Tamandua tetradactyla: one gene and its partner. The protein of the gene in region 1 interacts with the protein of each later gene in a pairwise test. Links are inferred from orthologs where the notes say so. Each region holds a gene or a part of one and is shown on either strand. Other genes may lie near its edges. The genes, in order: TRIM2 and LRRC8E.

The links.
Region 2: the proteins of TRIM2 (region 1) and LRRC8E interact in binary tests that used the Homo sapiens proteins (3 or more experiments, as listed by UniProt). The two-hybrid records come from large-scale screens. The link is inferred for Tamandua tetradactyla from reciprocal best matches to the Homo sapiens genes TRIM2 and LRRC8E.

Annotation. Positions count from the first base shown.
Region 1 is NC_135348.1:13,957,839-13,974,196, forward strand, and holds the start of TRIM2 (tripartite motif-containing protein 2), read right to left. Parts: upstream 7,206-16,358; 5' UTR 6,665-7,205; coding exon 6,623-6,664; exon of another isoform or gene 6,382-6,622; intron 1-6,381. UniProt on the Homo sapiens protein: UBE2D1-dependent E3 ubiquitin-protein ligase that mediates the ubiquitination of NEFL and of phosphorylated BCL2L11. Plays a neuroprotective function. May play a role in neuronal rapid ischemic tolerance.
Region 2 is NC_135337.1:84,294,362-84,310,718, forward strand, and holds LRRC8E (volume-regulated anion channel subunit LRRC8E), read left to right. Parts: upstream 1-7,362; 5' UTR 7,363-7,441; intron 7,442-7,953; exon of another isoform or gene 7,954-8,083; intron 8,084-9,722; 5' UTR 9,723-9,908; coding exon 9,909-9,939; intron 9,940-9,987; exon of another isoform or gene 9,988-10,193; intron 10,194-10,560; coding exon 10,561-10,703; intron 10,704-11,070; coding exon 11,071-13,323; 3' UTR 13,324-15,457; downstream 15,458-16,357. Other genes in the region: PRR36 (proline-rich protein 36), read right to left, coding at 1-566, 660-772, 1,020-1,119, 1,244-1,496; MAP2K7 (dual specificity mitogen-activated protein kinase kinase 7), read left to right, coding at 15,676-15,799. UniProt on the Homo sapiens protein: Non-essential component of the volume-regulated anion channel (VRAC, also named VSOAC channel), an anion channel required to maintain a constant cell volume in response to extracellular or intracellular osmotic changes.

The DNA of each region.
Region 1 (16,358 bases):
GAATGCTCCCATTATGGATCACCGTGATGGCACCTACTGCCTGGTCGATGGAGAAGGAACAGTACAGAAACAGGAACACCCACAGGACAGGAGTGCTGCTGGTAAGGAGCCAATGTCACTTTTGCCAGGTTGTGCTGAAAGAGCCAAGCTGCCAGGGGAAGCAAATCTCAGGTGAAGGGGCCATCTCATTTTCCTCTGGAGGTGTCTGCAGCCGAACCACTAACGAATGCCCCAGCACCACCCTAGACCTGGTTTCCCAATTGAGGAAACTCTTTTGAGGAAATTGGTGTGCAAAATATGCTCACTAATGGCTAATGCCACCACCAAGACTGGAAAATTCCTCCTGGTTTATGTTCTGTCTATTACATTATTGCAATTTGGAGATCATAAAACAGGACGCCCCAAACATGCTTGCTTAGTTAATATCTTCTAACTGGGGCGTGGGCTTGGAAAATATCTTTACCTCCTTCTTCCTGACTGGGTGGTGTAACCGAGAAGTTATGATTTCAGGGACGATTATGGTTGCTGAATCATTACATAGATATCCCTTCTTGCTTTCTGGTATATTGGAGTAGACAGAGGGAAATACCCGAAACCTCCGAACTTTAATTCAGCTGCCCTAATATCTGGAATGATTGTAAAAGCCCTTATCTTGCCCTTCACATTTGTAAATTGTATGCCCCAGACTCTGCCATTGAAATGATAACTCAGCCTTTCCTCCTTCCAGCTTACATTTTTAAATGATAACTGTCTCCCTTTCTACTTACACTTACTTGAAACTGTAATGACTTCATCTCCCCTTGTTAGAATCAATAAATATCCTAAACCCACTAAATTCTGGGAGACAGATTTTTGGGCTGACAGGCCATCTGATCTCCTGCAGTAATAAACTCTTTCTCTTTGAAACCCTGGTGTTTCAGGAATTGGTCACTTAAGTGCATGGGCAAAAGAATCCACTGCCTTTGTCTGGTAACAGTAGAACGATCCAAATCAAAACTGGGTTTTCCTTATGGCTGACAAGCTCTTTATCCAGGGCATGGACAAATGAGTAAAAAAATATGGACAAAAAATATAATAATGGGGGGCAGGGATAAGGAGTAAAAAAAAAATGAGTGGAGCACCATATTAGTAGTCAGAGGGAGGGAGAAGATGTACGGGATGTATGGGTTTGGTTTTTTTTTCACTTTTTAAAAAAATTGTGAAATATAACATATACACAAAAAAAAGGAATAAATTTCCAAGTGCATTTTAACAAGTAGTTATACAGCAGATTTTAAAGTTTGGTATAAGTTACAGTTTCATGATTTTTCGTTTTTTTCTTCTAGCTGCTCCAAGACACTGGATACTGTTCTAGTTTGCTAGCTGCTGGAATGCAATGTACCAGAAATGGAATGGCTTTTAAAAAGGGCAAGTTAATGAGTTGCTAGTCTACAGTTATAAGGCCGAGAAAATGTCCCAATTAAAACAAGTCTATAGAAATGTTCAATCAAAGGCATCCGGGGAAAGATACCTTGGTTCAAGAAGGCCGATGAAGTTCAGGGTTTCTCTCTCAAGTGAGAAGGCACATGGCGAACACAGTCAGGGCTTCTCTCTCAACTGGAAGGGCACCTGGAGAATGCAGTGTCATCTGCTAGCTTTCTCTCCTGGCTTCCAGTTTCACGAAGCTCCCAGGAGGCATTTTCCTTCTTCATCTCCAAAGGTCGCTGGCTGGTGGACTTTCTGCTTCATGGTGCTGCAGCATTCTGAATCTCTCTGAATCTCTCATTCTCCAAAATATTTCCTCTTTTATAGGACTTCAGAAACTAATCAAGACCCACCCAAATGGGTGGAGACATGTCGTCCCTTAATCCGGTTTAACAACCACTCTTGACTAAATCACATCATCGAGAGAGATGATCCAATCACAGTTTCAAACATACAACATGGAACAGGGATTATCCTACCTTTACGAAATGAGACGTATATTAAAACATGGCTTTTCTTAGGGGGCATACTTCCTTTCAAACCAGCACAGATACCATTAAAAATATCAATATAACGATTCAGCAATCATACTCATTTGTTAAATCCTATCTTCTGTTATACTCCTCCTTCTCTTTAACCTCTGTCTATTCTACAATATAGGAAGAAAAATATCTATAAAACGATTTGGGTTAATTTCTTTTTTTTTCTTTAATTAATATAAATAAATAAATAACATATATATACATAAAAGTAATAAATTTCAAAGTACATTGCAATAATTAGTTGTAGAACAGATTTCAGAGTTTGGTACGGGTTAAAGTTCCACAATTTTAGGTTTTTATTTCTAGCTGCTCTAAGGTACTGGAGGCTAAAAGAAATATCAGTGTAATAATTCAGCACTCATATTCACTTGTTAAACCCAACCGTCTTTGTATAAACTCCACCATCACCTTTGATCTTTCTCCCACTCTTTAGGGGTGTCTGGGCTATGCCCCTTCTAACTTTCTCATGTTGGAAAAGGCTGTTGATACTATGGGACAGGAGGATGGAACTAGTTAATTTTCTGTAAGGGTTGGCCCGTCTGCATTTCAGGACCCGTCTGGAGGCTCTAGGTTATGGAAAGTTACCCTAAGCATGGAACCTTTGTAGAATCTTACATATTGCCCTAGGTGTTCTTTAGGATTGGCAGGAATGGTTCTGGTTGGGGCTTGGCAAGTTATGATAGGTAGCAGTGTCTAACTGAAGCATGCGTAAGAGTGACCTCCACCGTAGCTTCCTGACTCTATTTAAACTCTCTCAGCCACTGACAATTCATTAGTTATACTTTTCTCCCTATTTGTAAGGACATCCTTTCTTTTTATTTCTTTTTCTGGAGTGATACAAATGTTCTAAAAATTATCATAGTGATGAATACACAACAATGTGATGATACTGTGAGCCATGGATTGTATACTATGGATGGACTGTACGGTAAATGAAGATATCTCAATAAAGTATTTTAAAAAATAAATAAAGATAATCAGATGGAATGGAAAAAAACACTGCATTTAATTTTTCACATTTTCAGTCTTCCATCAGAGCTCTCCTTTTGAGTGTCCTTATTCTGAGAGTCTCCATTTTGTTTACTTTCTGGTCTCTAAAATCATCATCCTCCTGCCTAAAGGGCAGTAATCAGAGTCCTCAAATGCTAGTCTGGATCCTAACAGGGGATAGCAGGGTGGCAAGACCATGTTTCTCTTGATATTTTGTTTTAAATCAATGGTTACATTTGTACTAAATAAAGACATCTGGTAGGTATTCTGAAATGTGAAAAACACCTACCTTAAGGACATGGTAACTGAAAAGGATAATCGCTTTTCAGAGCTCTGACAGCCTTGAGCATATTTCTATAAACTGCTCTGGTTCCAGACACCAGCATGATTTACAGGTTGACTCATTTTAATGCAGTCAAGGCTGAAGCAAAACCTGTAACCACAGCTTCTATTTGAGCATTTCTGAGCTGTCATAAGCTAGTGAAGATGCTGACAGAGAGAATGTTTTTGTTTGACTGAAGGACACATTCTAATCTTCTGAGCCGAACCTTTTGCATAAACGAGTTTCATCCAGATATATAATATGCTACGAAAAGGGAGAAGGTATTGAAAATTCTAGGGAGAACCTATTTCTTCAAGTAGTAAGATGATATTCAAAGGCAAGATGTGCAAAACAATTATTTTACATAGGAAGGAACCAGTGCTAGTAAGAAAAAACATTTGTCAACAAAAGCTCAGTTTTTCGGTTGAACTCCATTAAGATCTCAAAAAATACACAAAACTGAGTAGTTAGTAAATAGGCCTTTTACAATACCAGTGTTTACTGCCCTAAATTTCCCCTTTACCTGCTTATCTCAAAAACCTACCATTCTCTTCTGGAGAAAATAATAAACTCACAGATAACTTACAAGGACTTTTTATGCCAATTAGCAGGTCAGTCAGTTTCAAGGTCTAATATATGAGTAAAATAAAATACTATTGGTGGCAGAGTATGAGAACACCTCAGACTTTGCCCTCAACCCTTTTAAGATAATGGTTTCAGATAGGCCACCCCAACATCCATCCTGGAAAATATTTCTGATGAATCCCTAAAGGAAAAGCACCATTGTTCATGAAACCCAAAAGAAAAGCCCATAATTATATTCATCACTAGCAGCAACATCAAAGCACCTCACCAGCTCCTACCAGCACAAACTTTTAGTGCCTATGCAAACAGAGAAAAATTCTTGTCTTCTGGGAATCTATAATTCAAGATGGATTTGGCGTAAACCAAGCAATTGTCATTTTTAGTTGGGGAAGGAGAAAGTTCTGACAATGTTATCGCCCCAGGATTTCAGGATGCCATCTTCAAAGGTTACCAATCTGGTAATTGGGCTATCTCCAATAAATTTGTACCGGCAATGCTCAGAGAGATGGTAAGTTACCGCTGTTTGTAAAAGGGCCAAATAAAGAGATCACTCAAGTCTCTTTCTAGAGTAGTCAAAGGACAGAAATTCAAAGGTCAGATTTCAACACTGAGGCAGACCAAAAAGTTCAGAGTGGAAGATGTTCCTTCTCAGAAAATCTCCCTAACCCGTTTATATTTAGTGTCTTATAAGGAGTTCCTTCCACTTGCACTTTGAAATAATGAGCTGACTGCCATCTTGCAGGAAGCCATGCATGTCAGCATTAAAATGATGATGCAAGAAAAATAATACAAGATGTAGATACACTTTTACTTTTGACAGATACACTGGAATTTCCAATGGGGGATTTAACAGAAGTAGACTTTACCAGGAAAATACAAACAGGAGTTAGAATAATGTTATCAGAGAATACTGATAAGGGAAACTATCACCTAAATGAGTCCTGACATTTATTATGAGAGGTAATAATCTCCTGGATTCCATGATCCTAAATAGAACCATGGTATATTCCTAAATAGGATGGTACAGAAAAGGTTAGAAGGAAAAAGGAGGCTACTGGGAAAAGTGTGCAAATATGAGGGTGAGTGAAGAGAACCGATGTTAGCTCTTTTCTAACCTGTTCAGAACAGGACTGAATTATCTCACCATGAAGACATTTCATTAATGTGGGTGGCCCCAACTGATTCTACCAATCCATACTTGCCCTAAGGGAGGAACATGGTGGAATTTTGTTTTGTTTTGTTTTAACTGATCCATAATTGTTATATGGATCCAGGTTTGAAAGGGAAGAAGAAAATGTGCGTCATAAAGCACTCAATCAAATCCCTCATGTCTCTGGTTAAAATGGTGCTCTTTTGTTTCTCTGAGCTGAAAGGCAGGTACTAATAGTTGGCCAAGGATGAAATCAAGTTGAAATCTGAGACTAGAGGTCAACAGAGCCCCAAGGTAATGAACTGAGTACAATACCTACTCCCTCTACTTGCCTTAAAGGAACAGAGAAGTACAAGTTGTCATGCAACAAGACTTTAACTATATTCTAAAAATAATGATGCAAAAGTTGATGTAAAAAATGGGGGGGGGGGCTAAAAACTTCTGAAAAAAAGCATAGCAGGATATACTTCCAGAGGAACAACCCCCACCACCCCCTTTCTAGGGGCTAACCCAACTCTTCTGGATGTTTGAACTCTTAGTGGTTTAAAATTACCTGTTTTTAAAGTGCTTGAATCTAAAGCTGCTTCAGTTCTGAAAATTAAGGCTGGTGATGTACAGAGTAGGGGTGGGGCGAGGAAACAGGAACCAGTTGTTCTACGGGGTTGGATTACAGGTGGGAAAGAATTCGGGGCTCAGAGAATGCTTTGGATCTAACAGGCAATTAATCCGACAAACGCCTCTCCCGATCCTCAACCTTTTAACCCGTTTATAAGCAGCATCGGGTCTGTACTTGACGAATGCCCGTGACTAAATCCATTAAAGAGTCGCCCAACCTTCAAAAACCAACATCTTCCTCCTCTTACAAGCCAGGACTGCAGTATGAGCTCGGGCACAGGCTAAGAGTGGAAGTTAATAGGAAGGAAATCTGTTTGTGTAGTTTCAGAAAAATAACCGGGGGTTCGGAGGAGAGGAAACCCACCCTTTCAAAATTATTAAAGCTATTGCTCTAAGACCTTCAGGGGATCTTTTTCGTTTTTCTCGGTGCACAATGACTTTAAAAGCCATTTGGAAGGGGCCTGGCCCGGGAGCAATGCAGCGGCTGCAGGCAACGCGCTGCAGCTGCCCGGCTCACCCCAGCACTGACTCGCAGCTGGCTTCTACCCACCGCAGCGAGGATCCGGAAATGGAATTTTTTTTACCGGCTTCCTACACACCTCAGTGTGCCTGGACTCTGACCCGAGGGAAAGCGTCCAGGCAGCCCGGGTCGGGCCCACTGTCCGTAGCCCAGCACGCACAGCCGGACGCCGCGGCGCCAAGCGACCACTTACTGCGAAGCGCAGAAACCCACGCGCACTCGGGAGGGTGCCTCCGCCGACTCCGCCTCGGGCTTCGCCGCGCCCCGGCCACCACCCACGGCCGAGTTTTGCTCGCTCACACCATCAGGCGGCGGGCGGGCGACCCAGGCTTCGGCGCCGGCTCCTCTCCGCCTCCTTCTTCCTCCCCCGCAGCCGCGATGGTGCGGCCGGACGGCTGCACGAAGGTGAGACTACTGTATCGCCAAACGCTTACTGAGAGAGCCGTAGGCTGATAATCCTGGGGCAGCAGTGACATCAAGTAGTAAAAATAGGCAAGAGGAGGAAAATCTGCCTCCTGGCTGGGTTTCAGGGACCTTAACTCGGAGATCTCCGTTTCCAATGGCTCTCTGGTTGGTCATTTCCATTCTGTGCTCAGTCCCAGACGGGGAGGCAGCTGTTTTCCATAAGCCTCGAGGCGGAGGCAAATCCTGGATTAAGCACTGCCCGGCTCTCGCAGCATTCCCAAACCCCGCACGCCAGCTAATCCCCGCACAAAGAGCAGAAAAACAAACAGATGAGTTTGTGGCCAGTTCCAGAAACATTTCCCTAGAGCGATGATTAAGGGTTCTTCTGGCCGGCTTCCCGGGATGGGCCAATCGCAGCCCGGGGGTCAGAAAAAAAAGGGTTGGCTCGTTTTTTTTCAAGTATACTAAAAACGTGTCCTCTCCAAGTCCTGTAAACACAAATGCAAACACTGCCCCTTCGGGGGAAGGACTGATTTCAGTTTGGACCGAAAGAGAAAAGGGCCAGCCTCCATTATGGGACTCTTCATTGTTAGAGTCCCAACTCCCTGAATGTGAGAGAGGAGAATAATTTAAGGTTTACTTTAAGTATATTCTGATAAACGAGTCAAATATGACACAATCGGCCCTGAAAATGAGGAGAAATTACCTCCTCTGGGTCTTACTTTTTACTCTGTAAAATAGGTAAGGATAGGAAGTTTTTCTCCCTCCTTATTTTCCTTTTTCATTTTTTGAGTGCCCCCTATGTGCCAGGCACTAGGCTACAAATATAAAGTTGGAAAAAGCATCAAGTCCCCATACACAAACACACACACACACACACACACACACACAGAGACACACACTGTGCCGCCCTCCCCCCCGCAGGTACCTTACACTCTCATAGGGAAAAAGACAAGAAAACTAACAACTTCAGTACATTGTGAAATTGCTATGATAGATATTTATGTCCACAGGATTACAGGAACACAGAAGCAGGTTTTAGATCATACTAGGGAATCAAGGAAGGTTTCCCAGAGGAGATTGAATGTGAGGTTTGAAGACTGAGCAGACATCAGGTAAAATAAAGAGAGAAACAGAAGGAAAGTCTGAACTCCTGTATGGCTGCAGAAAGCAAGATGAGAGATGAGGTTCTTGTCTGCTAAACCAAGGAATGTAACCTTTGTCTGAAGGCCTTGGGTATCCTCTGGAAGATCTAAATCAGTGAGATGACCTGATTGTATTTGCATTTTAGAAAGATTACAGTGGAAGCCATGTGAGAGGAAGCCCACCTAGGAAAGGTGTGGTCGGGGGTCAGGATGAAAGAAAAAGAGTCCAAAGGTAGGAGAGGTAGGATGTTGAGGACATGATGCCTGGTAACAGAGAGGGGAGGGAAATTGAAGGTTATTACCCATGTTTCTGACATGGACAACAGGGTGGATGAAGTGCCATTCATCAGCAAAGAAAAATGAAGGACAAAGAACAAGTATGATCAGGAGAAATGATGAGTTTTAAACAAGGTAAATGTGTGGTATCTGTGGGTTATCTAAATGTAGGTGCGCCCGCAGCAAAACAGCCACTTGGGTCTGTAACTCAGCACACCATTAGGGGCTAGCAATACAGATTAGACAGTTGTCCACTTATTTCTGCATCCAGGGGTGCAGAAAAATTCACAGAATGTAAACTGAGTTATAAGAGCAGGACTGAAGATGGAGTTATGAAAAAATACTGGCTTTGACTGGGCAAAGATTGCAGCCTGGAATGAAAACTGAGGGGAAAACTATTCAAAAGGGGGAAGTGAGGTAATCCACAAACAGAGAGAGTCATTCAAGAAAGGAGTGGTCAACATTGCCAAATGCTTAAGACAGTCAAGCAAGGTACAACCAGAAATTGCCCATTGCCTTTGGCAGTATGGCTGTCATCAGACCAAATGGTAAGACTAGTAGATGAAGATCAAAGGGCCCTTTAGCTCCAACATTCTACGGCTTTAAAGCCGTCTACCTAGGACATTTGCTATGTTTGAGTACTGCCACCCATGCCAGAATCTGTTTTCCCAGCTTGAAAATGTAACCTACACACTGGCAGTTGGATGGACAAACCTCAAAGTGTGAAAGCAATGTGAGAAAGCAGATTGCAGGGAAGCTGTTTTCTATTTCTACATAGCATACTATTTTCAAGGTTCATTCATGTGGTAACTTATATCAATACTTCGTTCTTTTTTGTGGCTGAATAATATTCCGTGATGTGTATATACCACATTTTGTTTATCCATTCATCAGATAATGGACAATTTGGGTTGTTTCCACTTTGGGCTATTATGAATAATGCCATGATGGACGTTGATGCAGAGGTTTTTAAGTCGACATATATTTCTACTTCTCGTGGGGATAGATCTAGGAGTGGGATTGCTGGGTCATATGGTAACTCTCTTTAACATTTTGAGAAACTCATCAACTGTTTGCCACAGTGGCTGCGCCATTTTACATTTCCACCCAACAGTGTATGAGAGGTCCAATTTCTGCACATTCTTAACAACATTTGTTATTGTGTATCTTTTTAATTTTAGCATTCTAGTGGTTGTGAAATAGTATCTCATTGTGATTTTGATTTGCATTTCTCTAGTGAATAATGATGTTGAGCATCTTTTTATGTGCTCATTGGACATTTGCATGTCTTCTTGGAGAAATGTCTATTAAAACCCTTTGCCTATTTTTAAAATTGGGTTAGTTGTCCTTTTATTGTTGAGCTGTGTTCTACTTTGCAAGCTGCTAGAACGCAATATACCAAAAACAGAATGGCTCTTAAAAAGGGGACTTAATTAAGTTGCAAGCTTACAGTTCTAAGGCCGTGAAAATGTCCAAATTAAGGCAAGGCTATGAAAATGTCCAAATTAAGACACCAACAAGAGGTTACCTTCACTCAAGAAAGGGCGATGAAGTTCAGGGTCTGTCTCTCAGCTGGAAGGGCACACTGAGAAGTCTGCTAGCTTTTTCTTCTGGCTTCCCATTTCATGAAGCTCCCCCGGGGGTGTTTTCCTTCTTCATCTGCAAAGGTCTCTGGCTTCATGGCTCTAAAGCTTTTTTCCAAAATGGGTCCCTCTTAAAGCGCTCTAGTAAGCAACTCCACCTTGAATAGGTGGAGACACATCTCCATGGAACCCACCTAATCAGAAGTTACCACCCACAATTGGGTGGGTCACATCTCCATGGATAATCAAAAATCTCCCACCCAGCAATATTGAATGAGAATTAAAGGACATGGCTTTTCTGGAGTACACAGCAGATTCAAATCGGCACAAGCTGTATTAATTCTTTATATATTTTGGATACTAGTCCCTTACTGGGTATGAGTTGAAAATATTTCCTCTCATTCTGCGGGTTGTTTTTTTTTTTCACTTTCTTAGATATTCCAATATTCTTTAATAAATCCCTTTTTAATGCTTAAGCTAGAATAGTTTCTGCTGTCGGTAGCTAAGGACCTTGAGAGAGGCACCAGGTTGGGTTAAATACCATCCTTTTATATTTTCTTCTACAACAGTCCCTCTCACATCACATCTTCTATCTGATATTGCCTTAGACCCTTGGTGTTTGTTTTTTTATGCCTAGTCTATCTGAATTCCACCTCCATCTTCCATTTCCTGGGCACTATGGTATAAATGGCCACTACTAACTCCAATGAGCCATGACTACCTCAGCAGCCATCCCATCTATTTCTTACCACCATCCAGTCCAGTCCTAGCCCAGAACCCAGGTAGGTATGTGCAACCCCACCCCTCTCAAGGCTCCTGCCACTCCCTGCCACCTTTCCTCTGTGATACTGCTAGAGCTACATGGGATCTTATGCATGAGGTCAGTATCCTATTTAATTTTTGGATCCCCCTCAGCACCCAGGACAAGACATTGCAAAAACTTGGAGCAATAAATGTACATTAAAGCGAATTTCATGCTTCATTCCTTAATTTTACTTTTTATTCTAAAACTGTATTTATGCAGGCCTTGCTTTTCTAAACTTTTTTCTACATGGTCACATTTAGAGGATTAGGGCCTGAGATTGGGTTTCAGGGCAAATCTGTGGTGTTCAGTTTATTACTGAAAGAGTGGAATGCTTTGGGGGAATTCATGTTTAGTTATTTGTGAAATAGTTAAAGAAAATAAGGCTGCAATGATAAAGCTCTGAGCATCCAGAGAGGAATTAAAGAGTATTAATGGGGCATCATGAGTCTAAAGTGAATGCGTTTCTTGGTTGATTTTTCTGGTGGATTGGGCTTCATGCCTGCCACTGCCCAGTGATTTGGGTCTGCTTATTCTCTGTAGGCTGCTTCTTATCCCACCTATTTATTTCTGTACTCCTACAATAATTGGTAATTCTTCAGAGTAGGGAGTAATTATAGGGCACCTGTCAGCAATAGCTAGAAAGAGCCTGTATTGATAGTCATCCGTTCAACCAGTGTTTACTGAGCACACACTCTCTGCAAGCCACCACCTGGGGAACAAAGAGGAACAGATTCATTTCCTACCATAAGGTGCTGAAAGCCTAATAGCGAGGCCAAGACAAACATGGTTAACTCCATAACCGAAGTCTTTAAAAAAAACTCACTTGAGGACCCAGAGGAAGGAGGAATTACCCACTTTTCCAAGTATTGCAAAAGGTTTCATGGAGAAGATGGGGAAGAATAGCTGGCTTTTGCTTGGAAACCTCTTAACCATAATCCCTGTTCTCTAGAGTTCCCAAACTACTTGGAAATAAAGTCATATATGATAAGATTCACTTGAAAAAGTGAGTGATCCTTCCTATTAGGGTAATCAAGAAAGATTTTGTGAAGAGATGGACTGACTTGGGCCCTAATGATGGATTTATTATGTTATATGTTCTTAAATAAAAAGCAATGAAATTCTCTGGAAAAGTCAGAAAACCTAGAAAAGTATACGTAATAAATGGAATCATCTATATACCTACTACTAGAGATAAATACAGTGCCAGACATAAAATAGGCTTAAATATCTGCTGTAAGAATGAATGAACAAAACTTGCCATTTATTGTCTCTTTCTGTATTTTTCTAATGCATATTTTTACTGTATATATAATTTTAGAGTCTGCTTTTTTAAAAAACATGTCATATAATATGCATTTTAATGTCAGTAAAATTATTTGAAAATGCATTTTTAAACAGTCGAAGAATATGTCATTCATTGCAATCAATTTCCATAGTGTTCACATTTAGATTGTTTATAAATTTCCAATTATTCTAAATAAATGTTCAGTGAAATTGCTAAACACGAATGCTTGTCCACATTTCTATATTCTTAAGACAGATGACTTTAAGTGGAATCATCAAGTCATGGTGCATTAACATTTCTAGGGCTCTCAGGACAGCAAAGCATTACACAATTGCTTTCTAGGAAGTTTGTACTAATTTATACTCCCATTGGCTGGGTGGACTGGTGGTTCAATGACAGAATGTTTTCCTTCCAGGTGGGAGACCTGGTTTTGATTCCCCAACCATGCACCAAAAAAAAAAGGAAAATAAATATTTCCCCATTCTCAATGCATGAGATGGAGATACACACCTTTAACAATGTGAACGTTTAAAAATATTTGCTAATTTAATAGTGGAAAAGCATATACTGAAGTTTCTGAAATTCATATTTATGTGATCACTAGTGAAATGAACTTTTTAATATGATCATTAATCATTAGTATTTCCTTTAAGTAAAGTTACTTGTTCCTATTTTTTCTCCATTTTTCTTTGGGGAACTTGGAGAGAATCTGCCATTCTCTTGTGGCTGTCGTTGTGTGAGCACCCCACCATGATGATTGTGAGCCTATTTTTTAAAAATACATCCTCATCCATTCAGGATTCTTCCCTCCCCTCCTCTTCTCTACAATATGGCCCCTGACCACAAGCCAGCTACTTTACCTGGTGCTCAGTCAAAGGAACCATGAGCTATTGCAACATTGGAGGCAAAAACTAGTAGTAGAATTATTGAACAAGGCTATGTCCAGAATGTCATGGGTCATTTATGGACTGTGACCCTCGTTGTAGGTACTCATTTTAGAACCTAACCTTCTTCTATGCCATAAGTTTAAACACCAAAGCATTTTCCTGCCGACTCCCTGGGTTTCAGCAAAATGTTACTTTCTTGTCTTGGTGGTGTCTGTGCCTGCTGAGCCTAGTCTGGCCTTTTCTTCATCTTTCCCAGTCCAAATCCTGCCCATCCCTGATAACAAAGTTCAAATGGCAGCTCTGAGACGAGGATAACCTCCTCCTCGGCACCCCTTATCCTTTGTATCTCACTTAGGGCACTGCCCTCCTCCTGAGTGTTCTGATTATTTGTGTATACAACTCATAACTTTCATCATACTGTGAACTCCTTGAGAAGTCTACTTAAGTAGGCTCTATGTCTTCTTCATGTCTGGATTCTCATAACACAGCAGAAACCCAAAAATGCTTTACAAATGAAATAATGTCATTTAACAGAAACACGGCAAGAAAAAAAAAGTGCTACTTTGAAAGGGAAGACAAAGCTTCATTTTAGATGTATTGATTGTGGTAATGGTAAGATGTCAGACAGAAATGGAAGAAAGTCAGTCTAAACAAAGGAATAGAAACTCAACTCACAGAATCACATCTTGGGCCCTTTATAGGGTTGAAGGTAAAGAAAGAATTGGGAAGCAGGCTGCCTTTTGTGTCCTCTTATGAGGCACAAGTTGCCCCTATTATTCTTCAGCCACTGAAGCCCACTGTGGGAGAGGAATGAAAACTGGTAAAAATTACAACTGAAGTCCAGGGACTAAGAAACTGAAAGGGGATAAGCAATTAAATTTTTAAAAATAAAGTCCACTGAGGGAAATAAGCACTAAAATAATATTTTAAAACAATTTGGAAGTTGGCAAGGAAATGGCTACTGGCTTCCATTAGAGTAAGAGCATGCTCTCTTATAATATTTTCCTAAAATGATGATGTATTGATCTTCTCAGGTTGACCCATTAGCCATGAAAAGATGTTGCTGAGTCTCTAAGGATACTTAATCAGCAGAGGCATCAGGCCATGCCACAGATCCACACACTCGTTCAAAACCAAATGTAAAGGAGGAACAGTTAGAAAGCCAAGACCAAAGGAGAACAGCTCTCTCTGGGGTCTTGATTGTTGCTCTTAAGTCGTTGCCAACAATCTCACTCATCATAAATCTGCTTATTTTTAATACACGTTATGCTTTTGAAGTTTCAAATCAGAACCTTACTCAGACAAAACACAAAACCAATAAAAACAGGCGGAGGACTTTTTTGAACTTGTGTTTCTTAGGTTTATTCTTATTGTCTGTTCAAGTCTCGCGTTAAAGATGAAAAAGAAAAGAACCATGGAAGTGTTTCTTTTGAAGTGTCCTTTTATCCAACATGTGGAGAAAATATGACAATTGCATCATGTTCTTATTCTTTCTAATAGATGCCAGTGTAGTCTGTCCCTAACTTCCAAAAGGCTGTATTTGAAATGTTGTTTTTTTTAAAATATACAATTTTAATACGTGTAGCTTACAAGCACAGAAGTGCACAAAACCAAAGGGAAGAGCTCAATGAATTATCACAAATGGTTCACATAAGGGCCAACACTATCCAAAATAAGAACTAGAACACCACCACTCCCCCAGATGCCCCCTCCCAAATGTAACTTTGTAGTTAGACATATTTTTTCATGGAAATATTACTAATGGTGGTAAGTATCCAGATCAGACCACAAATTCAAAAATAGACTCAGACTCTAGCAAAGTGACACTATACCAACTTCAGTTTTTCTGTGGGGAAATTTTCAGTTCCAAATAGCGATGCCAGGGAGCAGCTCCAGACATGTCATCCCCAAACCTCAGGGGCTTCTACGACTCTCAGGGCTCTGGGTGAGTGGGGTGGGCACAGAGGGGAGGAGAAGCAATGCCAGGATCCCGGTAATCAGTTCACAGTCTACAATGTATTAGGATCTGAGCAAGAAAACATGGTGCTTTGGCCAAAGACACTCCAAGTGTCCTGATTTAGGAAAAAGATGCTGGACAAGAGAAGTGGTCCATGTTTATATCGGAGTAATCTGAAAGTTGTATGTACTGTATAATAGAAATTCAAGAAAATTTAAGAGACGTACATTTAGGTACCCAGTGTGGGTGAAGAATACTAAGGCTAGCAGTTTTTACTGTTGTTACATAATTCATCTTTGTAAACTTTTCGGCAGGATCTGATTCCAACTAAAGGCAAGCATTCTCAATTTAACAACTATCCATTGAAAAAGAAGTTTATAAATATTCAGTTGTGTTTTCTAGTGAGTACCAAATTCCCAGAAAGTATAACCTAGAATGCATGTCAAAACGCAAATTTAAAGACTCCAATCCAGATCTACTGAACTAGACTTTCCCTTAGGGAAGCCCATTATATTTCACAACACCTGACATGCTTCTTATCTTCAGGAAAATATGGGCAACAATGGCTTGGTCTAAGGAAGATGAAAAAGTAATGTGTTCAGTTAAAAGTGCTATAGAAGTCATAATTGTTGTTGATGCTACTAATAAAAATTAAAATGCCGTGGAGAGGAGGATATCATCCACATGGCGATGGAAGACACCTACTAAAAACCTCTCCCCAGACAGTCAGTGAAAAAAAAAAAAAAGAAAGAAAAAATCAAACATGCTCAGAACTCTGGAGGAAGGTAAAACCTGGAGAAGGATCCCACAAATACTGAATCAAAGAAAGAAAAAAATATCAACTAGAAAACTACCATTCCAGACTGATTTGTTGTGATGGTTAGGTTCTGGTATCAGCTTGGTCAAGTGATGATGCCCAGTTGTCTGGTCAGGCAAGCACAGGCCTGACCATTGTTGCAAGGATATTTCATGGCTGGTTGGTAAACCAGAAAACTGGTATTAAGTCATCAGTTGATTGCATCTGTGGCTGATTATATCTGCGATCAACTAAGGTGTGCCTCCCACCTGCAAGATAATCCAATCAGGCAAGGACTTTTAAGGGAGAAGGGAATCTTTATCACTGCTTCTTCAGCCAGCAACCCTGACTAACACAGTGGACCTTTCCCCTCCCTCTCACTTGGTCCCATGCAGCTTGGAAAGTACCCAGAGGCAGCATCCTGGCTCTCTCCCACTGGGAACACAGACTATAAAATCTGTCATAGCAGAAAAAAAGATCCCCATCTATATCCGGATACAGAAACCCAGGTCCACAGGGACCCAAGGCAGTCTCAAGCCATGGGGGAGGATGGAACACAAAAGGCAGTAAGGAGGAGCTTCCAAAATGGAGGATTAGGGAAGGAAATGCAGACTTTACTAGTTTTCCAAAAGCAGCAAGTAGCCAGAAGAAGAAACTGTCCAAATCAACTGTTTGGAGGCTAGGAGACAAGGGAAGACATTTCAAGGTCCAGGTCAGTTTGGGATGAAGGAATTGAGACAACATGGACAGAGGCTGTACTCCAGCTGTAGCACCTGGTGCCCATCTCCCACCCTCGAGGGAATCAGCAGTGGGAGGGCCGATTCTTGCCTGGGAGACAGCTGTGGACTGAGGCAGCTGTGGGAGTCCTTTGCCACAAGTACAGTAGGGGACACAGCCCAACACTGAGCCAGATATTGGCTGGTAAAGTTACAGCACAGGAACCCGGCAGTATCAGCCCCACCCTGTCAGACACTGCCAGGCTCCAGGAGTCAACCAGTTTCTGAGGATGAATAAGTAACCAATGAGCACCA
Region 2 (16,357 bases), on another chromosome or scaffold:
TGGAAGAGGCGTGGCCAGTTGACAGGGAAGAGCCTGGCGAGGGGGCGTGGCCTGAAGGTGGAGTTTGGCTGACAGAGGGGGCGTGGCTTGTGGCGATGCAGGGGGCGTGGCCCGCAGTCGAGGGGCCGAGCTCTGGGGAGGCAGTGCCGTGGGACCCCGTGGAGAGGGTGTGGCTAAAGGAGAAGGAGAAGCAGCGGCCTTCCTAGGGGGTGTGGCCTGCGGAGGGCGCAGAGAAAGCAGCCCTTTGGTCTTGGGCTGGGAGGGATGTGTAGGAGCCCGGGCTGTCCCACGGGGCGAGGACTCGGAGCGGCCGGGGGAGGGCAGCGGGGTGGCGCTGAAGCCCACGGATCGCGAGGCTGGCCTCTGGAGAGCCCCGCCGGCGCTAGGTAGCCTCCTGGTGGCAGGGCCCGGCTCCGTGGTGCTGCTCACTGATCTCCTGGGGATCTCCGTCGCGGGCCGAGGCCGAGCACCCGGAGCTGGCCGGGGGAGCCCTGCCTCGGCGCCCGCAACCCGGTTACGACGGATGATAGTCGGGGAGGAAACTCCTGGGGCAAGCCCGGAAGAGTCTGGAGACAAAGCAGAGAGTCGCGGGGTCACTGTTACCCCCAGGCTGGTCCCCCTCGCTGCCCAGGAGCCCCGCTCCTCCTCGGGTCACGTACCTCTCCGTGCCGTTGCGATAGGGCCGGTTTTTCTGGGGGCCTCTGGGACTTTTCCTCTAGCCACAGGCTCCTCAGCCGAGGGCCGCAGCCCCTTTTGGCCAGGAGGCCCCGACCTGGGAATGGGGAGGGGGGGGTTTACTCAGGTCCCTAGCTCCTTGTTTGACCTCCCAATTTTCCATTTTCCCATCTGTGAAATGGGATATGTACCCTCCTTGCGGACCAATAATACTTTCATCCATCTTGTGCCCAGTGATCTCCAAGTGTCTTCCCATTCCAGTTCATATGTATAATTTAAAGATTCCAGATAGTGACCGAAACCCTCGCCCTGGGGACTGGGTTGGGGGGTGCGGGGGGCTTTACCTGGCGGTCCCACCGGCACGCGCAGGGCTAGAGATAGAGCTCGGGACGGGCGCCTTGGTAGGGGCCCGCTCCCCTCGCCCAGCTGCTGAGGGTCTGGAGGCTGCGGGGAGAAGGCCCAGTCAGTCGCCCCAGAAGGGCAGGGCAGGGATGGGGCTGGTGCCTCGGGAGGAGGGGGAGGCTGGAAGATGGGTCTGGACTGGGTTCGGGAAAGGAGGTCGGGGTACCTGGACTCCGGGGACCTGCCCCGGCACTCCGTGCTGGTCCCGCCCGGGAAACTGCCTCGGAGAGAGCGGCGCCCCCAGCTCGCTCCGCCAGAGACCTTCGCCCTGCCGCCGCGCCCAGGACTCGGAGGGTGGCGGTGGTTCCTGGGGGAGGGGGCCGCAGAGACCCTGGAGGCCTGGGAGCGGAGAGGCCGGGAGGGCGAGAAGCCGCTGTCCGCGCGGCGGGCCCTGCCTTGGTCTTGTCCCCCTTGTCCATCGCTGCACCTGATGAAGCGACGAACCCATCAGCATCAGGTCCTGGACCGCTAGGCTGCCTGCGGGGACTCTGCCTCGGGGGCCCGCACTGCTTGCCTGGCCACCCACGGGCACCCAGACCGCGGCCTCGGCCTAGATCCGCTCCCCGCCCACCCACAGCCCCGCTGCTTGGGTGTTGTCCCCAAGTCCCACCCCTACCGCCTTCCCCAAATGCCGGGCAAGCTGGTCCATCCCAGCCCACCCCCCACCCCGCCTCTGCTCCCTTTCAAGACCGAGAAGACCACCGGCCGCAGGAACAGGGGGCTGCCACGGGCTCCGGAAGAGGGGAGGGGGTCCGGAGACAGTCTCGGCGCCCTTCCCGTGTCTCCCCGAGGGACCTCGGCACCTGCCCCGAGCAGGAGCAGCCCCGGCTGCCCGCGAACGGGCTCCGGGAGACAAAGAGCGGCGTCCCGGGCCCGGCCCCCACCCCCCACCCCCCCACGGGCCCTCCACCTGCTGCCGCCGCGCTCGCCTCCTGCGCTGGCCTCCCGCCGCTCGCACGCAGGGTAGCCTGGGGTGGGGCCCGGCCGGAGCGCCGCGGTGGCCGCGAGGGCCGGGGAGAAGAGGGGAGGGGGCGGCGGCGGTGGGGCAGCCGGGTGGGGCCCAGCCTACTGGCCGCGGGCTGGAGAGTCGGGGGAGCGCGCGCGCTCGATGGAGACCCGGGCAGGCGGCAAGCGGGAGCGCGCCGCCGGGGCGGAGGGGGAGAGGCGCGCGGCGGAGGGGAGGGGCGGCGGTTCTGGGGTCTGGGGGACCCGAGTTCGCGCGACCGCCGGACAAGCTCAGAGACCCGGTGGGAGGAGCTTCGGGAAAACCCGGTGGGGTCTCTCATCTACCCTCCTACCGTACCCCACGACACGCATCACCTGCCCCGGCCCCCCTCCCCCCAGCCACCTGGCGACCAAGGCCCTCCCGGACGCGGATAGGCCGGGCCCTGGCAACCGGGAGGTGGGTCCATCGCGCCTCGGGCGCAACCGGCCAATCCAGACGCTCGGCGTCGCCGGTCCGTGCACGACCACGAGGGCTGGGTCCCCTAGGATCCTGGGGGGGCTTCCGTCCCTCTCAAACCTGAAGGCTGTTCCCGGACCCTAGGCAAATCCCCAGCGTGGTGCTGGTGGGGAGCTGCTGGCAGACAAGCAGCTCTGTGAATTTAAAGATGTGTGGCAGACCCAGATTTGGGGGAAGAAAAGAAAGAAAGGTGGAGAGGGAGGGAGAGAGATGAGAAAGTACTGCGAGAGGTGACTCCAGGTCCCTGTAGGGTAGGGCTCCTCCAGCCTCCTCACCCTCCCAGTTCACAGGAAGGGGCTGAGGTCCTCAACAAAGGCTTCCTGGTGAGCCAGGCTTGAGGGGTGGAGTGGCGACAGAATTTGGGGGGTGGGGAGTGGGAGGGGCAAAAACAGGCGCATGAAGGAAGGGGCAGAGAAGATTCTGTGCAAGGGCCGCAGCCCTGCTGGAGGATGTGGGAAGTGTCATTCTGGTGATCTCACCAACTAATGCAAGGGCGCGTTCATAGGGGCCATTAGCAAGGAGGGGGCAGGAGCATGAGCAGGGGAGAAGGTTATTTTCATTGCCTGCATGGGCCTCTTGAAACACCCCCACTTGGAGCCCCATCCTTCCAGACTCACAAACACCTCCTGCCCCATCCAGAAAAGCAGCTCTCTCTGCCCACAGCCCTGTGCCTATCACACAAACACACTTGAGCAGTCCATCCCTTCCTAGAACTTAAGTTGCTTCCCTGCATGGAGAGTCAAGGGTGGGAATTGGCATTTACATGAGCCAGGGGATTGGCAGGTTTAACCCGGGTATGCCTGGAGGCAGAGTTTGGGGGCCTCCTCGCTTCAGGAGTTGTGCCCACAGTTGAGGTTCTGTGGATGGAAGAGAGAGAAAGGTGGGGGCATCAGAACCGAATGCCCTGCTTTGGCTGGTGGAAGAAAACCCACTCCTTCAACATCCTCTCCCTTCGATCTTGTAGAAGGGTCCCTTCTGAGCTGCCAGGGCATTGCCCTCTGGAATGGATCCTTCTAGGCCTCCCCACCTCCCTATGACTACGGAAGGGGCCTGTGTGAGCCCCTTCTCCCATGACAGCAGCCTGAGTCACCTTACAGCCTGCCCACACACCTGCCGGCTGTGACTTACTGAGTCCGCACAGATGCCTACTTGTGCCTTCTGACTATGGGCTATACCATATCTAAACTTCACTAAGTGGGATCTGGACCCTACCCTCTTATAAAAACACTCTCCAAACCATCGATTAGCAGGAGAATGGGTAACACAACCCCAAATAGGCCTGACAATGGAATAATACATAGCAATAAAAAGAAACAAGCTTGGGGTGAGGGGAAGCATAAGAACTCTGTACATTCTGCATAATTTTCCTATAAACCAACAACTGGTCTAAAAAAGGAACAAGCTAAAATATGGTATCAAAAACATTAGGCGGAATAAAAGAAACCAGCCACAAATAAAGGCATGCACTGTATGATTCCATTTATTTAACATTATAGAAAAGGCAAGCTAATTTTTTTGTGACAGAAAGCACATCAGTGGTTGCTGGGGGGAGTGGGGGTTGGAGAGGGAGGGGAATAACTGACCCATCCCGTTTAGCCACTCTCAGATTCCTGACCCTTGGAATCTGTGTGAGGCAATAAACACCTGTTGTCTTCAGCTATTTCTTTTGTTGGTAGTTTGTTAGGCAGCAATAATACTGATCAAACATGGGGTTCGCTGCCTGATGCACATAATAGCCAGCGTGTGACACGGAGTGTGATGGTGAGGTTCTGGTGTCAACTTGGCCAGGTAATGGTCCCCGGTTGTCTGGTCGGGAAAGCACTGGCCTAACCATAACTGAAAGGATATTTCATGGCAAGTTGATTATCCAGAAGACTGGTCTATTGAGCCATCAGTCAGCTGATTGCATCTGTGGCTGATGACATCTAGGATCAACTAAAGGAATGTCTCCTGTAAATGAGATCATCCTATCAGCTGGTTTTGATCGGATCAGTTGACTTTTAAAGGAGAGGAGAGAATTTTCTTTTTCAGCCAGTGAGCCTCTCCTGTGGAGTTCATAACGACCCTTCATCAGAGTTGCCAGCTTCACAGCCTGCCCTACAGATTTTGGACTCTTGCAATCCCACAGTTGTGTGGGACACTCTTATAAATCTTATATTTACAGGTCTCTCCTGTTGGTTCTGTTTCTCTAGCAAACCCTGACTAATACAACAGAGTGAACTAGGGAGAAAGAGTTTATTGCTGCATGAAGCAAGAACAGTTGTAGCCTAGGGGCCTAAAATCTGTCTCCCTGAGTTTAGGATTTTTATGGATTCAAGGAAGGGGCCATGGAGTTGTTACCATTATAATAAGTATAAATGACTATGATATTCAAATATAAAGGGCAGACTTAAGCTAGAACTAAGCCAGAATAACCATTACCATAACAAATATAAACACTATAGCTATCAGTTAGTTCTGGGTGGACTCAAGTTTCTACACTAACATTAGGGTGATCATAAGATGCTAAAGTTGTGAGAAAGGGTAAGGAGGTACCAGCAGGGCCACTCAAGAGGCTTTTACAATTCGTAATTCAGTGGGTTTCAGTAATTGCAGATATTTCCTTTTGGCTATTCTACGATACACTAGAAAGTAAGATAAGGGCATCTATATAATGATTCAGTCATCCTGATCATTTGTTCAATTTTAATTTCTCAGTACAGCAATGGATAATTACCTCAGATTCACAAAATCTTAAGGATATTATCAATGTTGAAAACTCCACACTCTGCCAGTGGGAGTGAAACTGATGCAGCCTTTCCGGGAAACGAGTGGAAAGCTCTGAAACTGCATGTCTTATGACCTAGCCATTCCACTCCTGTGTCCGTTCCTGGGGGCAGGTTAAAGAGCCCCCTCTGTATCCCCTCAGCAAGGCTGGAAATGCTAGGGAGTTAACTTCCTCTGTCTCCCAGCCCCACCCCAGAGCAGCCCTTAGCCAATGACAGACAGGAGCTGGTGGATAACTATTTCAACTCCCTCGCTCCTTGAGTGGGACAACTTGGAGGCAGACTGTATACCATCCCCCAGAGACCCCCAGCAGAACTGAGTCCCGGTAGGCCATGGTGGTAACGCGTTCATTCATCTTCCTGTCAGTAGCCATTAGTGGCTTCCTTCTCTGGCTGTCTCACTTCCTCCTTGCTTCCTGGGATCACCTGCTAGAGAAACTATTTGCATCCAATTCCCTTGTCAGGGTCTGCTGGTGGAGGAGCCCATGCTAAAGAAAACAACACCTCCATCATTCACGCATCGCATCCATCATTTACTAAGTGGCTGCTGGCTGTTCTGCACTGTTCCAAGTGCTTGGGGATACAGCAGGGAACAGAAGAGACATGTGCCTGGCCCACATGGGGTTTAGGTTCTAGTGATCCCAGAGATTCTTGCACAACGTGAATTTCAGCATATGATTGGAAACAAACACCCAGGGCATGGATCCCAAGGAGAGAAGCTTCTCAGGAGACAGGAAGAGGTGAAAGGGGAGATGACACAATCTCAAATGTCCCTTCCTCTGTCATTGCTACCGTCTCACTCTGCCTTATTGTATGCATGGCACTTTTCATAAACCACTATTATCTTGCACATTCAGTGTCCGCCTCTCCCCATCCCACTAGGACAGAAGCTCTGTAAGAGTGGGAGAGGGGTACGGCTTATCTATAGGTGGCCCACCATGGAAGCTTCCGGGCCTGGGCACACAATAGGTTCTGATTAGAGATGCTGGACAGACCTGAGCCCAGTCTCTCCAGGGCTTGTCTTTGGGCTGCTGGGTTGGGGATCAAGCCCAAAGGGCCTCTTCCAGGGCTGGGTTTCACCCATCATCTACCTGAAGCAACAGAGGAACTAAGCTTAGGGGATCCCAATCCTCAGGGCTTGGGTTTCAGGCTGTCTCAGAGCTGGTGAAAAGCTTTGGCTTCTTTTCCCCCATGGAAGAAGGGTCTTGCTACCCCCGTCCTAGTCCCTGTTCCCCTTCCACTGACGAGAAAGGTTCTTCAGACTGAGAGCAGATCAACAGTCAACTGCAGATGCCCCCCAGGCGTAAGTGGGAGGTTTGCACAGCTATGAGCTAGGCCAGGTCTCCCCAGGTGGGAGGAGAGGTTGGGGGTGGTAGAGAGGCAGAGCCTTCCTGGGGAGAAGCTGGGCCTCTCAGATCCAGATTCCACCCCCAGCTCCCAGATTCTTCTTGTTCCTGCACCCCGTCAGGACCTGGGAGCAGCTTGGTGCAGACCCCTTTGGGGTTAGGCACAGCACTGGGCGTGGACAGACAAATGAGCACCCTGCCTCCTACCTGCTTCCCCTAGCTCAGCCCAGCTTCCCCAGGCCAGAGGGGGAAGGAAGAAGCCCTCAGCCCACCCCCACGCCAGGAAGGAGCAACTGCTCAAGTGTTCCCTGGTTAGGCCCTGCCCTGGGTCTTTGAGGACTGGTGGCCAAGCACTGCTGGTGAAGAAGAGGCCCTCCCATGCTGTCCTGCTAGTGTCTCCACAGCACAGCCCCAAGAGGGGCAGCCATGGGACGATTTTGGAGCCCAGGGCCTCCAGCTCCCTCAGTGTCCCCCTCCCTAGGGGCCAGCAAGACTGCAATGGAGCCCAGAGCTCCTCTGGCTCAGCCCCTGGCCCAACTTGGGCAGAGCAGGAAGAAGAGTGTAGGGAGCTCCCTCCTCCCCTGACCTTGCAGCTCCAGGGGTGGGAGTTGACCTGGGAGAGCCTGGGGGAGGCGGGCCGCTAAGGGCAGGGCGGGGCTGGCCAGCTCCCTGGCTCCAGTCCTTGCCTGCCCGCCCTGACTCACCCTTGCTGCCCGGGAACTCTGCTGGAGTCCCAGCCACTCTACTCTGCTCCTAGGACCCAGGAGTTGGGCCCAGCGTCCGTCAGAGAGGTGAGTAATTACTCCCAGCTACTGGTAATGGGGTGGCAGGGTGGGGGTCAGACTGGGAGCCTGGATCCTGCAGAGGGTAGGAACGACCCCAGGTACAGCTGACACAAGAAGGGAGGGGGCAGAGGCTCAGCCCCAAAGGTGCCTGTCCAGTGAAGCTCAACTAGGTAGAGTCAACCTCAGGGGGTCTCAACCACATGCCCCTTTCCTTGGCTGCTGGGAAAACAATAACAACTCATATTTGTGAGTCCCTCAGAGCCCTAAAACCCTACCACTTGGGGTCTGCATCAGCCTGCTGTCTGGTGCTCTTGAACCTCAAAACTCCCCAAGCCTGGGCAGGGGCAACTTGGGAAAGTACCAGGCTGGAAGTCCACAGGCCTGGGGTCTGATTAAGTGGTGATTCTTCCCCATCCTGGACCTCAGTTTCCTCTTGTGTAATAAGAACTCAGACCCTGTGCTCTCCCAGCACCCTGTCAGTGCTGATGGCAGTCTGCTGTTTCTTCCTTGCCCCTTAGGATGGACTGTCCGGGGTGGAGGAGCTGGGGCTGGGCCAGAAGCACCTGTTCCCCCCCCCACCAGCAAGAGCTTGCTCCCCACTCCCCAGGTCTTTGGAGGCAATCTGGGGCCTTGAGGCCCTGAGAAGGGGTAAGCATGGTTGGGTGGAGCAGAGGCTGGGTGGAAGCCAGGTATCCACTTTTAGGCTGGCAAGATTCTCCCCCACCCACCCCCACTCAAAACCTGGCAATTTTCTCCATCTCTTCTCTGCCTGATTGACCAGTGCTTTGGGGTTCTGTTTCCAAAGATGCTGCATCCACAGAACAAGAGTGGAGACAGATCAGATAGGGGTAGGACGGATAGACCGCTAAGGCCACTTGCCAGTTGCACAACCTTTTCTTCCCTGAATGTGGAATACGAGGCTCCCAGCACCCACGCCTCACAGAGCTGGAGAAACAGAAGCATTTGAGGCATCTGGTGTTTGGACATTGCACGGCGGTCTTTACTGTTCTTTTCCTCTGGGACTCCATTCAGCGAGCCTTTCTCCCCAGCCCACCACCCCCGCCCTGCTCAGACAAGGGGGGCAGCCATGTCTGCAGAGACTTAATGACAGGTTCGGAAGTATCAAGCTTGAGTCACAGAGACAGATAATGATAACCCCCGTATCTGCTTCTGATTCTGTGTATATCTACAGCACGTTCTCAGTGCCTGTGCTGTGCGCTGGGCCCCTCGGTATTTCCACTTTCTTGCCTGTAATTGAGGGCAGTAGAGCTCATGAGATTGTAAGATGGGTCCTGAGGGGTGGCAGGGACTGGGGCGGGAGGTCAGGTCCCCGCCTGTGTGTGGCATTTTTTGCCACAGACCCCCAAGTACTATTCTTAGGTGAAGCCACTGAGCAGGTCCTGACGTGGCCCCCAGTGGGGGAGCAGGGAGAAGAGCTGGTGGTCAGAACTGAATGCAGGTGATAAGGCCACCGATTCTGGCTCTCCCCTCCGCTCAGTGTGTGTGTGTGTCCCTTCTGGTGGCTGTGTCTGGAGTTGGTACCTGCCCTGGGTGTGTTTCCGTCAGGTCCCCTAGAGACTGAGACTGACCGAGAGGCATGTGTGCATTTTTCCCGGGCTTTTGCAGAGGCCCAGGAGTATAACGGGAGCACAAGGGACGGCCTGGGCAAGCAGCAGCAATGTGCTCTGGGCCACCTCCCTTGTGTGTGTGTGTGTGTGTGTTCCACGTGAGTCAAGGCCTGAGTCAGGAGACCCGTGAGGCTGGGCACAATGGAGAGCCCATGTATGGGCAGGTGGGTGCCTGCTCCCTTGCGTGCAAATGCCCCGAACTGAGGAGGGAGCCTCAGAAGGAAAGGATTAAGGGGTGTGGTGGCCTGCCCAGCCCTGAGCCTCGTGGGCAGGGTCTAAATCCTGTTTCACCTCTAACCCCACCCCCAGGCCCCATCATCAGCCAAGAGACATTCCAAGGCCTTCAAGGAACATGGGGGCAGAAAAAGAGTGGAAGTGTCAGAGTGAAAGGCTGAGATGGGGCTGGGGAGTGGGGGCAAGTTTGCCCCAGACCCTTCCCTAGGAGATGGGGGGAGGCTAGAGAGAAGCAGCTGGCGGCCCAGATGTCCTCCTTCCTCCCTGGAGATGCACTGTCAGGTTGAGGACACCTGCATGAGAGGACAGGGGAAGCAGATTGGCAAGGATGGAAGGATGAACACTGGGGAGGTGGGGCTGGCCTAGGAACCCCTTCAGAGGAGGTAGAGGGCCTCCTTACTGCCTCCCTTTTCTTTCCCCTCCAGCCTTGGGGAGGAGAGGAGGATCCCAGCTATCACAGAGGGTGATATCCCAGCTTGTGGCTGACATCCCAGGAGTGACTTGTGCCTGGCTGTGTCGCAATAATGATACCTTGGTCTGAGAGGAAATCTAGGGACAGGCAGAGTGGGCCCACCAGGTTAGAGGATCACCTCGACAGCTAAAATGAACTGATGCTCCGCCCTCTGCCACCTCAGAGCCCAGGTATCTGTTTCCTACCTCAGATTCTGGGCTCAAACCCAAGTGTCCTGCCCCCTCATCCTCCTCAGGGCTGACAAGCCCTCTGTTTGGCCACGCCCTGTCCCTGGGGCTCTGGTAACCATAGCCAGCTCCAGCCGGCTTTTCCGGTTGGAGGTGGTGCCCCGAGTGTCCCTGAAGGAATAGGAGGGGGTACCGGGTCTGGTCCCAAGCCCATATCCGGAAGTCCTGAGCCTCGCAGGTTCTCAGGTCCTGAGGTGGTGAGAGCCGGGACTGACAGCCAGGACAAAAGTCAAAGGCGACCAGAGGGAGGGCTTTGGGCCTTGGTGTCATGGGTGGGAGGGCGATGCCGGGGTTCCAGAACGTGGGGGACAGTGGCCCTGTGGACTTGCCCCTCCCGAGTGCTGGGCAGTCAGTTGGGGCAGGGGTGCCGGGGAGCCAAAGAATGGTAGCCGCTCAGCTCTGGGAGGGAGGTGGAGTCTGAGGGTCAGGAAAGCTCGTGGGCAGCTTGTGAGCTGATTTTGGCAGGAAAGAGAACAAATTGGGAGCAGAGGCCCATGTCCTCTGGTTCCCCCAGATGCCCCTTCCTGACAGCATGGATACCCCCACCCCCCTCCTCTCCCTTAGGCAGGATGATCCCGGTGGCCGAGTTCAAGCACTTTACCGAGCAGCAGCCCGCGTTCAAGGTGCTCAAACCTTGGTGGGATGTGCTGGCTGAGTACCTCACCATGGCCATGCTCATGATCGGGGTCTTCGGCTGCACTCTCCAGGTAAGGGGCCTGGCCAGGGGAGGGGTAGGACTGGAGGTGAAGGGGGGGGAGGCCAGAAGCCGCCTTGTAACTGAATGAAGAGGAGGGAGTGGGCATAGCCCAGTCACACTCAAAAGACCAAACTGGATACCTTTCCATCCTTGCTATCAGCGGCAGTGGCACTCTGGTACATCTCTGGAATCTAGAAAGTGCTGCCATCGCCTACTCCTTTTTCTCATACAAACACCAATGCTCAGAGGTCTAGCAAACTCTTCCAGGATAGCAGGAAGTCAGGATGGGGGCCTCCTGCCTTCAACCGACTTCTCTCAACCCCACTGCCCTGGCCTCCAGCCTTCTCACCTGGTACTGCCCTCTTTCCCAACCCCAGGTGACACAGGATAAGATTATCTGTCTGCCCAGTCACAAACCCCGGGAGAACTCATCAGAGGTGTCGTGCCAACAGCTGCTGCCGCGGGGGGTCTCTGAGCAGATAGAGGGCCTCCGGGAGGCAAGTGGCCTCAAGAACAATCTGGACCTGCAGCAGTACAGCTTCATCAACCAGCTGTGCTACGAGACGGCCCTTCATTGGTATGCTAAGTACTTCCCCTACCTCGTAGTCATCCACACCCTCATCTTCATGGTCTGCACCAGCTTCTGGTTCAAGTTCCCAGGCACCAGCTCCAAGATCGAGCACTTCATCTCTATCCTGAGCAAGTGCTTTGACTCGCCATGGACGACGCGGGCCTTGTCCGAGGTCTCCGGGGAGAACCACAAGGGCCCTGCTGCTGGACGGGCAACGCCGGCTGTGGCTGTGGCTGTGACAGCAGGGGCCGGACCAGGGAAGGCAAGTGAGGGCGAGAAGGCGGTGCTAGTGGAGCCTGAGAAGGTGGTGACTGAGCCGCCAGCTGTCACCCTACTGGACAAGAAAGAGGGTGAACAAGCCAAAGCCCTGTTTGAGAAGGTCAAGAAGTTCCGTGTGCACGTGGAAGAGGGTGACATACTGTACTCCATGTATATCCGGCAGATAGTGCTCAAAGTGTGCAAGTTTGTTGCCATCCTGGTCTACAACGTCATTTACGTAGAGAAGATCAGCTTCTTGGTGGTGTGCAGGGTGGAGACCTCAGAGGTCACGGGCTATGCCAGTTTCTGCTGCAACCACACAAAGGCCCACCTCTTCTCCAAGCTGGCCTTCTGCTACATCTCCTTCGTCTGCGTCTATGGGATCACCTGCCTCTATACGCTCTACTGGCTCTTCCACCGGCCCCTCAAAGAGTACTCCTTCCGTTCCGTGAGGGAGGAGACGGGCATGGGTGACATCCCTGACGTCAAGAACGACTTCGCCTTCATGCTACACCTCATAGACCAGTACGACTCACTCTACTCAAAGCGCTTCGCCGTCTTCCTCTCCGAGGTCAGTGAGAGCCGCCTGAAGCAACTCAACTTGAACCACGAGTGGACACCTGAGAAGCTGCGGCAGAAGCTGCAGCGCAATGCCTGTGGCCGGCTGGAGTTGGCCCTCTGCATGCTCCCCGGGCTGCCCGACACTGTCTTTGAGCTCAGCGAGTTGGAAGCGCTCCGGCTGGAGGCCATCTCTGACATCACCTTTCCCCCGAGCCTCTCGCAGCTGGTGCACCTGCAGGAGCTCAACCTGCTGCACTCACCTGCCAGGCTGCCCTTCTCCTCGCAGGTCTTCCTGCGGGACAGGCTGAAGGTGATCCGCATCAAGTGCGAGGAACTGAGGGAGGTGCCCCTCTGGGTGTTTGGGTTGCGTGGCCTGGAGGAGCTACACCTTGAGGGGCTCTTCCCCCCAGAGCTAGCTCGGGCGGCGACCCTTGAGAGCCTCCGGGAGCTGAAGCAGCTCAAGGTTTTGTCTCTGCGGAGTAATGCTGGGAAAGTGCCCGCCAGCGTGACCGACGTGGCTGGGCACCTGCAGCGACTCAGCCTGCACAACGACGGGTCACGTCTGCTCGCCCTCAACAGCCTCAAGAAGCTGGTGGCGTTGCGAGAACTGGAGTTAGTGGCCTGCGGGCTGGAGCGCATCCCCCATGCCATCTTCAGCCTCGGGGCACTGCAGGAACTCGACCTCAGGGACAACCACCTGCAGTCCATTGAGGAGATCCTCAGTTTCCAGCACTGTCGCAAGCTGGTCACGCTCAGGCTGTGGCACAACCAGATTGCCTACATCCCTGAGCACGTGCGCAAGCTCAGGGGCCTCGAGCAGCTCTATCTCAGCCATAACAAGCTCGAGACCTTGCCCACCCAGCTTGGCCTGTGCTTTAGCCTCCGCCTGCTGGACGTCTCCCACAATGGGCTACACTCCTTGCCACCCGAGGTGGGCCTCCTCCAGAACCTGCAGCACCTGGCTCTTTCCTACAATGCCCTTGAGGCCCTGCCCGATGAGCTCTACTTCTGCCGCAAGCTTCGCACCCTGCTCCTGGGTTACAACCACCTGAGCCAGCTTTCGCCCCAGGTTGGGGCCCTTAGGGCCCTCAGCCGTCTGGAGCTCAAGGGCAATAGATTGGAGGCACTGCCAGAAGAACTTGGCAACTGTGGGGGGCTCAAGAAAACGGGGCTTCTAGTGGAGGACACTCTTTATGAGGGCCTGCCGGCAGAGGTGCGAGAGAAGATGGAGGAGGAATGAGGCCAGGGTGGTGCACACCGAGGTAGCAGGAGGCCGTTGGATGCTTCTGCCCCAGAATCTCCACCACTGACTTCAAGGAAGGTGTGGGTTCAGGCCAGAAGAGGAGGGACAGACATGCCAGCCTTGTAAGGCCCGGGCAAGACGGTGGGACTGGTTTGTCTGGGGAGAGACAGAAAGACTGTGGATTTGGAATGGAAACCCACGCGGAAGGATTAATTCAGTCATGGGATTCCCAGGGCAAAACCACACTTGTGTCTTTGGCTGGCTGGCCTGTGCCCAGCCTTGGGCCAAAAATGCTAACTACCCTCCCTCTAGACATTCCAGTTCAGTCGGTGCCATATATGGTGGTAGGAGTACATCCCTATGGGATTTCCAATCCTCTCCCCCCTACCAAACATCTTACATCTGGAGTTCTCTCCCAAGGAGGGGGACACGGAGCCAAGGGACCTGCCTCCCACCCCCCCACTTTGAAGCTAAACCCTTATTTATCAGTCTTTTGCTGTGGACATGTGACCTCAGAACAATGATTTTTATACTTGGCTATGCATCACATTCAACTGCGGAGCAAGTAGGAAACAACATCCCAGGTCCCAACCCTGAAAGACTGACTCAGGAGGTCTGGGTGGGGGCCAAGAACCTGCTTGCTTAACAAGCACCCCACGTAATTCTGAGGCAGGTGGTCCTAGGATCATATGTTTGGAAACACTGACCTGCAGAACAGATAACTGAAAACGTCCAGAGCAGGGATTCTGAACCCTTTTTAGAGTCCTAGACCCTTTGAGAGTGCAATGAAAGCTAGGCACTTCCTTTCTCATGGAAATATTTATGTACCCACATAAATGCTGTAAACAACTTCAGGCAGTACACAGATTCCCCTAAGTGCTATTCCTGGACTTCCCAAGGTCAGCAGATCCAGGTTAACTGTGGCGGCCACAGTTTCCAAGGACAGGCAGGGACTATGTCTTTTGACTGACCCTGGGAAAAGGAGTGTATACCAGCGAATGCTTAATAAAGAATGCTAATCATGAGAAGTATAATGCTGATCTCTAAAGAGATGTAATGCTGTCCACTCCTGTCCTGGTCTCAGCCTTCCACATGGCCAGAACAGTTACAGGCAAGCAATGACAGCCGCTTCCTGCCAAAATAAAGGGTGTGAATCTCAGGAGGGAACTTGGGAAGGGAGCCATCTCAGTTGATGAGATGGACAAATCAGGTGGCCTCTTCTGCCTAAACTTTTTTCCCCCTGGAGGACCTTCTCCTTTACCTGCTCTTCTATCCCAATCCCAACACTACACTTCTTTGCTTCTGCCCCACCCATGAGAGACTGTCACCACAAGAGGCCCCACAAGCCTTCCCTGCCATTACAGAGCCGTCTTCCCAGGTGCATCTGCAAACTGCCAGCCACCTCCTGGTGTCTGCTCTCCAGCTGTCACCAGGTGGAGCCATTTTCCCAGCGCCTTTCAGACCAGTTCAAGGAGGCGCTTAGGCTGCGGGGGACGCCAGGCGCTGGTTCTGCGCTGTCCGGGGCTGGGCTCTTACTCCACGGGCAGGGCCTAGGGGTTAAGGTCTGGCTCAGAACACCTTGGCCTTGACCTTGGCCCCGTCGCCGAAGTCAGGGGTCACGCCACCGCACTCCCGGGGCCGGCCCGTGTGGCCCAGCCGCCACCCTCTTTCTTCCCGCTCGTCCTCGGCCCATCCTGAGCCTGCTGGGACCAGCCGCGGCGAAACGGGCTCCCCACAGGTGACTAATTGTGGTCAGGAGGCGGCACCGCCCTGGGAGAAGGAAGCCGGTTAGCAATTAAGCATGACAGGCATCCCAATGAGGCACGGTCCGAAGCGAGGAAGCAATAATGAGAGCGCACGCGGGTGGCAGAGAGAGCCCGGCCGGAAAGAGTTACTGAGGTGACCGCCGGAGGCCGCGCCTGAGGAAAGACAAGAAGCGCCGGCTAGGCGCATGCGCAGCAGAAGCTCGCACGAGCCCGCTCTTTTCCTTCGTACGCACGCGTGCCGCTTGCTCCGCCTACCGCCCTCCGAAGAACGGTGAGTTCCCGCCCAGCGCCCCACGCGGGAGCGCTCGGAATTTGCGCAGGCGCATCGCACGCGCGCGCGGTGGACGGAGAGCGGTTGGAACGCTTGCTAGCCGCAAACTCTAGGTGGCGACCTCCCTCCGTTTGGGACGAAGCACGCACGCGCCGAAGTTCGCACGAGGAAAGGGCGGGTGAGCGCCGTGGGCATGCGCTATGCAGGGCGAGACGGCGGCTCAGCGGGGTCATCCCGGCGCAGGCGCAGTGCGGTGTTTGTCTGCCGGACTGACGGGCGGCCGGGCGGTGCGCGGCGGCGGCGGCGGGGAAGATGGCGGCGTCCTCCCTGGAGCAGAAGCTGTCCCGCCTGGAGGCGAAGCTGAAGCAGGAGAACCGCGAGGCCCGGCGGAGGATCGACCTCAACCTGGATATCAGCCCCCAGCGGCCCAGGCCCAGTAAGCACGGCGGCGTGGGGGAGGGGACGGACTGGGCGGGGCGCGCTCCTCGGGAAGCCCCGCCCTCGCCGCCAGGCCCCGCCCCCGCTTCCGGGGCGCTCGCGCTCCTCCTGCTCTCCGCCTCCCGCCGTCGGCTCGCGGGGAGAGGGTCACGGTGACCCGGGTGGCGTGGGGTCAGCGAGGACAGCGGCCCAGGGCTGCCCCTGCGCGCCTTGGCGGCCCTCCCCGGTCTTGGGTGTTTCGCTTGCGGGTCCTGAGAGCTAATTTGCTCGGCTCGATGAGAGGTCCCCCCACCTGATGTCCCGCCCTCATCTCCGTCATCTAATCAGAGCTGGGACCTGTTCTACGTCCGTGATCACATTCAGGATCCCCCCCACCCCGCCCCAAACACTCATGCACACACACATCCCTTCTGACCACGCTCCCACTCTCTTCCTGTGACTTTGTGTAGCAGAACCTTCTTTCAAGCTAGAGACCTTGTCATCTGGACTCCCCCAACACACTCTATCTCCAGACATTAGACTGGAGTCATCAGTGATCACCTTCAAATTCCCACCT